2 linked regions of the Drosophila melanogaster genome follow. The protein of the gene in region 1 purifies or fractionates together with the protein of each later gene. This does not show direct contact. Each region holds a gene or a part of one and is shown on either strand. Other genes may lie near its edges.

The links.
Region 2: the proteins of eRF3 (region 1) and Lipt2 purify together in Drosophila melanogaster (affinity purification with mass spectrometry, with the first as the bait; one large-scale study listed by BioGRID). This does not show direct contact.

What each region holds. Positions count from the first base shown.
Region 1 is NT_033779.5:12,432,816-12,440,470, reverse strand, and holds the start of eRF3 (eukaryotic translation release factor 3), read right to left. Parts: upstream 6,020-7,655; 5' UTR 5,475-6,019; coding exon 5,048-5,474; intron 3,782-5,047; exon of another isoform or gene 3,548-3,781; coding exon of another isoform or gene 3,493-3,547; intron 2,659-3,492; coding exon 2,473-2,658; intron 2,400-2,472; coding exon 1,630-2,399; intron 1,570-1,629; coding exon 1,483-1,569; intron 1,418-1,482; coding exon 1,241-1,417; intron 1,176-1,240; coding exon 1,007-1,175; intron 951-1,006; coding exon 907-950; 3' UTR 1-906. Other genes in the region: SR family splicing factor SC35, read left to right, coding at 6,559-6,636, 6,762-6,892.
Region 2 is NT_033777.3:4,435,680-4,438,913, reverse strand, and holds Lipt2 (Lipoyl(octanoyl) transferase 2), read left to right. Parts: upstream 1-1,584; 5' UTR 1,585-1,806; coding exon 1,807-2,511; 3' UTR 2,512-2,692; downstream 2,693-3,234. Other genes in the region: CG14650 (uncharacterized protein), read right to left, coding at 1-1,286; CG1074 (uncharacterized protein), read right to left, coding at 2,863-3,234. UniProt on the Drosophila melanogaster protein: Catalyzes the transfer of endogenously produced octanoic acid from octanoyl-acyl-carrier-protein onto the lipoyl domains of lipoate-dependent enzymes. Lipoyl-ACP can also act as a substrate although octanoyl-ACP is likely to be the physiological substrate.

The DNA of each region.
Region 1 (7,655 bases):
TGGTTTTAAATGATTAACAATTAGGTGTTTCCGTAAATTTGAATTTTCTCCGTTCTGCTTTTACAGACTTTACTCCATGTTCTTTAAGCTTAAACTTAAATTAAAGCATATAGATTATATCATTTAAAAAGAAGAGCAGAAATATCTTAATGCATTTTGCAGGGTATTTAACAAATTTGCAATTTAAAGGCGCATACAGGAAGATGGATGGGGAAAGGATTCTCGGGATCGTACTTTCGCTTACAAATACAAAAATTGGGTAGCTTGCAGCTTTAGTTTTAGTATTTTAAAGAAATTCACGTATTGCGCGCGATTTAGGCATGTACGTGTAGGCTATTTAATGCTTACAGTTTATACAAAATAGTAAACCAAAAGAAAACGACGACTGCGACAAGTGCTCAATATCCTTGCGAGATGGGCTCAACAAACAAAATCGTTATCAATGCAACTCCTCTTCTTCAACTCTTTCTCTCTCTTTGCATATATACGTGTGAGTTGTTTGTTTTGTATACATATATAAATAGTTCATCTTGTTTCGCATTCGCTGCCTCCGATTTTGCTGCTTAGTTTTACATAATATAGTTTATAATTCGTATATAATGCATTTCTGTTTCTATCTCCGAACTCGTCCTTGTTGTAAATTAACTTTTCGCCTGCCTACATTGCCGTTCCGTTCCGTTTTGAATCGATCTGGATTCTATAATCGATTGCTATTGCTGGTTGAAAGTAATGTGAGTGAGAGCTCGAGCGATGCTGAGTACTGTTTTTGTTGATTTGTCAAATGTGAAGAAAGCGTGGCGTGGCGTTGCTGTTGTTGTGGCTGTGGCTGTGTTCTCTCGTCGGGCTTGCAATGCTATCTCAAAAATCGCAATGAAAGGCGGGCGCTCGAATTTAGCTAGGCTCAATTTATTCGACCACCTTCAGCACCTTGCCAATGGCAATGGTTTTGTCTGAAAGATAGAAATGATAATTAGACGGGGATCTCCCGAGTCACCAATCGACTTACTTTCATCTCTGAGCGTAAAACGGCCCATTTGAGGGAATAGCTTAAATTGTTCAAGGCAAATCATTCCGGAGCACTCGATTCGCATAATTGCAACCTGATCCTGCTTAACGAACCGTGGACGTGTTTTTGATTTGTCACCAGACTTTTTGTCGACCAAACAGATGAGGGCCTATTGAAAAATAATACATATTCAGTATCTGGCTAATGTATGGGAATTATAGACCTAAAACTTACCTTAACTGTGACTTCTTCGGCTGCACAGTGTATGTGCATGACAGCCGAGTAACCCGCACAGATAATTGATTTGTGTTCTAAAATTACGACCTGAGCATCAAAGATTTTTCCCGTCTTGATGGGATTGGCTGCATCGCAGAGAACAAAACCGGGCGAGACATCCTCCTCCTCAATACCCTAAAAAAAAGTTTAAGAATCAATTAAAATAATCCAAGGGTATAACAAAAGAATCATGTACTCACTTTCAGCTTAATCTTGACGTTCTCGCCGGGACCAACAGAAGTGACTTCAAAGTCGTCCGAGAACAACTGATCCACCGCCACTTGCGTCTATGTGAAAAACAAGCTTAGTTTCAAATATTCAGCTGATTGCAAAGTGTATAAACTTACCCTATTTGGCATCACTAACAGGTTTTGACCCTTGCGCGCTGTTCCGGACTCAACCTTGCCCATCACCACGGTGCCCATATCCTTGTACTTGTCCACAATTGGCATGATGAAAGGCCCGTCCGACTTGCGGTTGAGCGAGGGCAGCTCGTCAATGAACGGAATGAAGGCGGGTCCCCGGTACCAGGGGCAGAGCGTCTCCGGGATTTGGTCTTTCAGCCCGTATCCGCTGAGGCCCGAGCAAGGCATAAAGGTAAGGTCCTTGGCCGGGTTGAAGCCCAGCTTCTTGAGGTATGGTAGTATCTTGTCTTTGCATTCGTTGTAGCGCGTCTGATCCCAATTGACCGTTGGGTCATCCATTTTGTTGACCAGCACGACCAGATGCTTAACGCCGGCGGTCTTGGCCAACATGGCATGTTCTCGGGTCTGGCCGCCGCGATCGAAGCCCGTCTCGAATTCACCCTTTCGCGCCGAGATGACCAGCACTGCGAGATCGGCCTGCGCCGCGCCACCGATCATGTTAGGCACGAAGCTCTTGTGACCGGGTGCGTCGAGGATAGTGAAATGCTTTCGGTCCGTTTCGAAGAAGGCTCGTCCCACCTCGACGGTCTTGCCCTTGTCGCGTTCCTCCTGGTTGGTGTCCAGCGCCCAGGACAAGTACCAACTCTCACGCGACTTCTCACGTGCCTCCCGCTCGTACTTCTCCAGTGTTCGCTTGTCCACCATGCCCGTGAGCGACATGATCTGTCCGCCAATTGTTGATTTGCCAGCATCTACCCAAAGCAAAGTGCGAATGTTAATAATGGCTTTTGGTGGGACATATGTTTATAAGTAATGATAACTCACCAACATGGCCAATGAACACAACATTCACGTGCTCACGCTTGCTCCTATTTTCCTCCACCTTAACCACCTTCTTCTTGGACACCTTCGGCGTGGCCTCGCCCTCCGTGAACTCAGCATCTTCCACCTCCTCATCCTCGGGCGTGATCACTGCATCGTCCACATCCCAGCTGTCAGCAGGATCGGTTTCTAAGCAAATAAAAAAAAACCAAATAAAAGGTCATTAGTCGAGACATTTACAAGGCGATTCTACTGTGCTTGGTGGTGAAAATAATATGGCTTGTTGAGGAATATATAATTGTTTGTTGTTTATTTTCTATCGATTACTAAAATTGTTATCGCGCAAATATATAATTTATTTACATTAGACAATCTTGGGAAAACTAGTAATTTTAAAAATTGTTCAAAATAGTGTCGGTTTGTCCAGATCAATCCAGTTAAAAACCGAATAAAGCAATGAATTTTTTTTATTTTTGGAATTGTCCACATCATCGTAATAGTTTAAAGAAACTTTAGTGATGGGAGTAAAATTCACTTTAACTTTCTCTATTTCACAATATCGAAACCTTTGTATTTTGAGCGACATTTAGTAAATGCAAACATGTCTCTTTTTATGCACAAAAATAAAAATGCAAATGTCATGCCTTTTATTTTTGCACATGAAACAACTGTGTAAATAGTTTCTTTTTAATTTAGGTCGGTTTGTTAGAAACTTATAGCACTTCAGATGATTTAAACTCAGGGAAGTTGAGCTATCACTTCACCAATTATATACTTCGTACTACCACTCATGCACTCGCCGTGTTTGACCTGGCGGCCACATGCTAATTGCTAATCGCTGACTCTAGCCACCCGGGCGGATGAGTCATGTGCGGGATTGGATTGGTGGAGTGCTGTTCTGTGCTGGTGTCAACGTGCTTGGTTAATAGTAGTTCCCGAACCTTTGACGTAAATGTCGGAGGATCATTTGACCGTCTGGAGATGGGCTGTAACGAATGGTATCCCAACTCCACGATTACTAACTTTTTCTCCACTGCGAAAACGAGTAAATGTAGCGAGATCCGGCGCCCTTACTCATGATTCCGATGCATACAACTCAATTCTAATCGGATTTCGGAACTAGGAGCGGATGTAGATATAGCCGGAGAAACGAGCTTCGATCGCGCCAAAGTGTAAGAGCCAACAGCAAATGCTATTTTTTTTCGGCGCTTTGGCAAGCGCGCCGCACAGCCAAACGCCATGTAATCAAGTTCGAAGCGGTTTCAACCGCCGGCGAGCTGCACTAAGCGCTTCCATTCGGGCCAAGCAACTACAAAAGTCGCCACATTGGAGTCGCTGCGATAACGACGAGTGAGCCATTCCCATTCCCATGCCCATTCCATTCCAGTCCACACCGCCAGTCGAAGCTGGGCGCAGCGTAGGCTCCAATGAATGGCTGACAAAAGAGTAAACGTGTCCAAAACACAAGAATTGGGGGGCAAGCATTTGCGAGTGTGGGTGCGGAAGAAGGGGACAAGGCAATGGCCAAATAAACGACACCACAAAGCGAAGCGGCAGTAAAATGGCAGCACAAACAGCTGCTTGTCAACGTCGCCCGGCGAATGGCAAGTAGGTGAGTGGCCACCAGAGATGCGCCGTGATTGTTAACAGTTTAACAAGTGACAGTGATAAGTCGTTACATCGAGAAATCAACAAAGCTAAACAAGAAAGTGTTTTCTAACTATGAAATTTTCAGAATATTAAAATTATGAACAAGTTTATAGAATTGAAAAATACACAAGGCTAGAATATTTATATTAGCATATTCGTGTAAAATTTTCATGGCTTAACTCTTAAATATCCCAATTCTTGAAACTCAAAATACTGAACGACGATTAAGAATATAAGAATACTATTCGGACGAAAGTTTTCACAAATCCCAAATCCCAAGATCACAGCGAGGCGTGGATTGTTTGATGTTCATGTACATATAGATTCAACAAGTATTTTTAAATGTATGTACCTACATTTGTTTAAAGCAAAAATGTCAAAGTGCATGATTAATTCCCAACCATTAGCTGGTTTCTAGAAAACAACTAGACCTGATTTGCGGTTATTTCACCATTTGGTGACACCTCTGTAGTGATTCTGGTCGTGATTCCTGGGCATCTCTGCGCTGAGCCACTGCTGGCGACACGACGACGAGAAAAGCGGCCAAAGAAAGGGCCCTGGCCGGACGAACTGTTTTTGCGCGCAGGCCGAAAGCGATTAGCCATTTGTTTAGCGGCACAATAATGCCCGCAATTCGAATAGAAGTCAAGCAACACATGCGACGCCGACGTCGGCAGTGCTGACGCAGATTGAGGTTATGTACTAGGGCCAGCGATAATAACCTAAACGGAACCTGGTGAATGCAACCTATCTTTGGGGTTTTCCCTATCCCATTCCCCATTGTTGTGTCTCTGCCAACGGTCTTGCGACCAGCAGGTAGCAACAATAACACGCTTCTTTGTTGACGTCACAGAAGAAGCGAGTTCAATGGACGTGGGGCATGTGTATTTGGCAGGGGGTATTTAGGTAGCTAGCAAGCTCTATTTACCATTGTTTGCGATTTTGTCCGAGGGGTTGAGACCATCGATGGGCGTTGGATCCGCCGCCGCTGCTCCTGCTGAAGGCGTGGTGGCTGGCGAACCCGGCGCTGGCGATGCGGAATTGGAGGATGATGTGGGCGGCTGTGCTGAGGGTGCTGCTGCCCCCGCCCCCTGTGCAGTTGGAGGCGGTGGAGCTGCTCCCGCTGTGGATCCCCCGCTGCCGACGGAATCGGGTGTGGTGGCTGGCGTGGCTGAACCGGAGGCGGGACCCGGATCCGCCGTCTCCTCGGCCGCAGCCGCTGCAACCACTACTGCCGCCGCCTCCTCAGCTACATTCACAACGCTGTTGTAACTGAAACTGGGCACAAATTCTACCGCGTTCACGTTCAGCGTTGAGAACTTTGTGCTGATCTCCGTGTTTTCCTGGGCGGCCATCGTTGCAGTGCGTCCGTAATCCTCCGCAGTGGTTTCCTCCGATGAAAATCTCTCTCTCGCTTTTTTCACGCGACGACACACTTTCGCCCTCCTTCTACAAACTGCTTCAGCTGCTTCTTCTTGCTGCTCCCGCACTCACACAGAACACACGCGGTCGTTCGGAATTCTTGGGATTGCCTATGGTAATGGAAATTGGGAATGGCAAAAGCAATGCCACCAACACACGCACGCCTTGATGGTTGTTGGCCGGGGGGGTGGCTTGTGGGGGGTTTAGGCCAGACTTTCGGCTCAATGTGGTCTACACTTTTGTTGTGACTCGGTGTTGTGTTTGTTGTTTGTGCTTTGCTAGCCTGGCCAACTCGGGTTGAACTCGAATTCCCTTTAATTTGATCGACTATCGCCTGTTTGGGGCAGTGGTGACCACCTGGTGATCTGCAGGTATGATTCGACTACCTGAACACTAAATGCAGTGCTCGGAACTAGCAATCTTCTATTATTTTACACGTTTTAAGCCACGCATCAAGTCAGGGTTGCCACTTGTATGCGGTGTTATCGGTGCATCGATATGTGCTGGCTGTCACAGTGGCCTATAATTGATTTGGGGCAAAGTATTAAGATATTTTTAAATTTTTTTAGTAAGATTTTTAATACTTTTAAAATTATTCAACATAAATAATTATATTGCTTTTGTACTTTGTTCTGATTAATATAATTTTTTAAGGCTAAATATAACGTAGTCCACATGTACATATATAAATACAAACTGTATTTGTTTTATGTGTGACTAGACATTAATAATTTTTTATTCACTTTCAGTGAGTTTTTATAATTATTAATTTAGTTATTTTGTATAATAGAAGTGTAATGCGAGTTTTGTAAATATTGATAAGTGTGTAGTGAGCCTTGGGGTTTCAATACATTTCTAAGCTCATCATCAATGGTATCGAATTACAATCGATGTTGTTCCAGCTCTAACGTCGTGCCAGACGCCATTTTAACAGTAGTGAAAAAATCGTCTGGAGTTTGGCTCGTTTTCAGCATTCGCATTAGCATTTTAGCGGTAAAACAAATATCCAAATAGACAATGAGCAACGGTGGTGGTGCCGGGGGATTGGGCGCAGCGCGTCCACCTCCACGGATCGATGGAATGGTCTCGCTTAAGGCAAGTATCTGCTAAGTAAAATGCGACTAAATCGCCCACAAAATGGCGGCCGGCTGGCAACGTTGTGTGGTTAGGTAACCTCTCCAAAAGCATGTAAATTAATCCGCGTGTAATTATGCCTACAGGTCGACAATCTCACATATCGCACCACGCCGGAGGATCTGCGTCGGGTCTTCGAGCGGTGCGGCGAGGTGGGGGACATCTACATACCCAGGGATCGCTACACACGTGAGAGCCGCGGATTCGCATTTGTTCGGTAAGCATTCACTTCTCTTCCGGGAAAATTGTGAAAGTCTTAGGTCTTTTTTGTTTTGTTACTTTCACTTGCCGGCGGTGGATTTTAATTATCATGGGACCTAAAATGTATCCATACATACTAGGAGTAAAATATATGTATTTCCCGAAAGTATACTGCGAAAATCATGCTATACAATCACTCGTCATATCCGCTTTCACTATCTACTTTATAATGTTTCATTGAAAACTAGCACATTGAGGAAAAATGTTATGTATTCCCTGAATTAATCAGGGTATGCAAGCAAATTACAAAAGTCTCAGAGTAATCATTTAAATATCATTTGAATATAGCTGCTATAATAAGTACGCCCCTTGTCTAAACTCAAATATTCCTCTCATTTCATTAGAACTATTTGCATTATTTGCTATCATCGATTGTGTATCAGTTGCTAATCTGTACACTTTCAGTAGCAAAATGGTGCCAGAACAAATGTGTTCACTTGCAACCGTTGCCTACTCAACATTTACTAGCCAACGTACAGAGAATACTACATCTAAATAATAAGTTCTAAAGTTATAGTTTCATAACATATGGCTTCAATGATACATTAAGTTGATACAAGGTCACTTATTCTATTTATTTGTTGTATCTACCTGCATTATTTGCCCCTTTTGAATGTGTAACAGCTTTCAGTCTGTACATCTTCTTTAGCAAAAGGATGCTAGATTGAATGTGTACACTTGCAACAGTTGCCTACCAAACCCCTGCTAGCCAACTTACC
Region 2 (3,234 bases), on another chromosome or scaffold:
ATCTGCGGCTGTAGATTTGGCTGTGCTAGAGACTGAGACTGTTGAACCTTGAGCGGCGCGGTCTGGCTGACTTTACTTCGCTTCTTGCCTCGGCTGGCATGCGCATGACCAACACCGGGCACAAACGAACCCGTCTCCTTGGCATCGTGCAGCGGTGAACGTTTTGACGTCCGCATCTCGCGATTTCCATATGCATCCTCCTTTTCCGGACGCCTCTGCGATTGTACACTGTAGTCCCCACCGTTGTCTGCGCGCATATCTCGCCCTGCAGCACTCGGTTTTGTGCCTTTGCTGAGCACATCGGAGTACGACATGGGCATGGGCTTCACCTCGGCCACGATTCGCTTTTTGCCTTCGGGTTGGCCAGGCACGGCGACGCTCGACTTGTTGATGGCAGTTGGTGAAACGGTGGCAGTGGCCAAAGGCATTTTCAGAGACTTGGCTGGCTTGGAAGCCGCTGGCAGTGTATTGACGGATTGCGACAGTGGCTCAGGCTGCTGCAGGTTCTGATTAGGAACCTGTGGCTGTTGGGCTATCGAAGTCTCGAGAACGACGTCCATCTCGTTGGCCTCGCCATCAAATTGAATGTAGCTTCCACCAGTCAAATTGGGCGACCAGTTGTTTACAAGGTTGTTAATGAGAAGGTTAGCACTGCTCGACGAGTGATTGACTTGGGACACTGTTGGGGCCTGAGTCTGCGTCTGTTGGGGCTGTCGATGCTGGGCGTCTTGCTGCTGTGCATGTGGTAAAGTCAAAGGATTTGTGGCAAACAGTTCATACAGTGGAGTCGGCTGCGAAGGTGTCGGCGGAGCGGCCTGGTGTTGGTGCTGCAGCTGATGGTGATTAATCGAGGCCATGTTGATATGCGTGAAGAGTGGGGTGCCGGCTTCGCTGACCTGGTTGTCCGGGCAGTGGTACACTTTGAGAAAGTTGCCGGGTCCCACAGGCAGCACGGAGTAGGTCTCTGGCTGGCCTGGCTGACCGGAGTAGGACAGATTGAAGAGATACTCATTGTACATGTGGGGCTGCTGCTGCTGAAGATGGGGCGCAAATGGGGGGCCGGCTAGGTGCGGTGGTGGAGGTGGCCACATCAGCGGGACAGGTGCTTGTCCATGCTGCTGCTGGTGGATCAGATAGTTTTGGGTTTGATGTTGATGCTGCTGCTGTTGCTGTTGCTGCTGTTGGTGGGCCAGGTAGTTGCCCACTTCGTCAGTGTGGGGCAGGACGCGAAAGGGTGCAGACTCAGTGCTGCCCCCTCCAATCTCGTCGTCCTGACGAGTCGCCATGTCCTGCGATGGGGCCTATGCTTTTTGCGCACCAGCTCCGCTCGCCTATTGGAATTTCAAGCGTGCTCCATGTATTCACCGCAGCGAGTCTGTCACGGATGTGCTGCAATCGCAGGTGACAGGTAGTTGGTTTTCTGTGGCCCTAGCCCACTTTTTCACTCCAAACTCTAAATAATTCGCAGAGCGTCCGTGTGTAAGAGTTTTATATCTTTTTATTGCAAACGTCAAATGTAGTGTTGCCAGATGGGTGGAATTCCATTTTCCTAACTGCCCTCGACCAACCCTGGTAGTAACCTATCGAAAGATTTCCCTCCAACGTATTTTCCGAATTGTTGTTAAACTGTTGGATTATTAATCGAAGTTTCCTCAAATAAAAAAACAAATTTCGCCAACTTTTCCATTGCCACCAATCAGCCGTTTTTGAAGATACATATATTGATGAACCCGCTGATCGTGCAGCCCTGGTTAATATTTGTTGTTTTAAACGTTGCAGTCAAATGATTTTTAAACAATTAAAAAAATGCCTTTTGTCCGACCGCTGGTGACCGTGGTGCGGGCCGGGCGGCATAGCTATTCAGCAGGATTACAGCTACAGCAACGTCTTGCAAGGTCCAACCAGATCCTGAATCCGCCAGCGGAGTTCCGAAACTACCTGGTGCTTCAGGAGCACGACCCGGTCTACACAGTCGGACTAAGGACAAAGGACTATACGGCGCAGGATGAAGACCGACTCCGCCGGCTAGGAGCAGACTTCCATCGCACAGATCGCGGTGGCTTGATCACATTTCACGGCCCCGGCCAGTTGGTGGCCTATCCCATTCTGCACCTGGGTCAGTTCGTGCCGAGCATCCGCTGGTACGTGGCGACGTTGGAGCGGATGGTTGTCGAGGCCTGCCACCAGATGGGCATTTCCAGTGCCAAGGCGACCAAGGACACCGGTATCTGGGTGGGTGACAACAAGATCTGTGCCATCGGTATCCACGGCTCGCGTTACGTCACCACGCATGGAATCGGCCTCAATTGCTGCACGGATCTGCAGTGGTTTGAGCACATTGTGCCCTGCGGAATCGAAGGCAAGGGGGTCACCTCGCTCAGCAAAGAGCTGGACAGACATTTTCCTGTCGAGGAGGCCAGTGGCGCACTCCTCAATAGTTTCGCTAAAGTTTTCGAATGCCGCCTTCAGGAACACGCCAAAAAACCAGCAAGTTCTGCTGAAATCGGATAATATGGTTATTTGGATACATATGATGTATAAAGGACCGCCAAGTTTATTTCAACATTTATAATTTAAATTATGCATCAATACATATTTCCTGGCCTTCTGTTATCTCAACTTTTACGAAATGGAAATTTGTAAACTAGATTTATGTATTTCATAAAATATTAAAATAACATTATAACTATATACATATATAGACTCATTGTCAATCGTATTTATCTATTTTTTTTTTTGTCCAAATCTGAATCAAAATCTTCGAAATGTATGCCATACAAGAAAACTCAGCGACACACAGCCAACAAAAAATTTGGCCCGAATCGAAGTTATATCTTACTATAAATTACACTTCAATGGAGATCACATAAATCGAGCTTTATTCAGGTCACACTTTTTGGAGCGCCCATCCGTAGGAATCTTTCCCCGTGCATTCATCTCCACACGAGCCTGTTCCCGCAGCTCTGCCTTCCGCATTCGACGCTCTTTGCGTGACTCCAGAGCATTATTAAAGTACCGATCCCTGAAGTCCTGCGAGGGCGTTGGCACCTGTTTTATGCTGCACAATAAGGGTTCTGTTGGACTATACTCGAAACACTTTTCATAGGTGAGTAGCCGCCTAGCTGTATTCCCAGTCAATTGCTGCTCAGAGTTAGCTATCAGGCTCAGATGCTGATGCTGTGGCAGCATCTTCGGGTCGTAGTCCTCGCTGTGAAAGGGTATCCAGCAGACAAG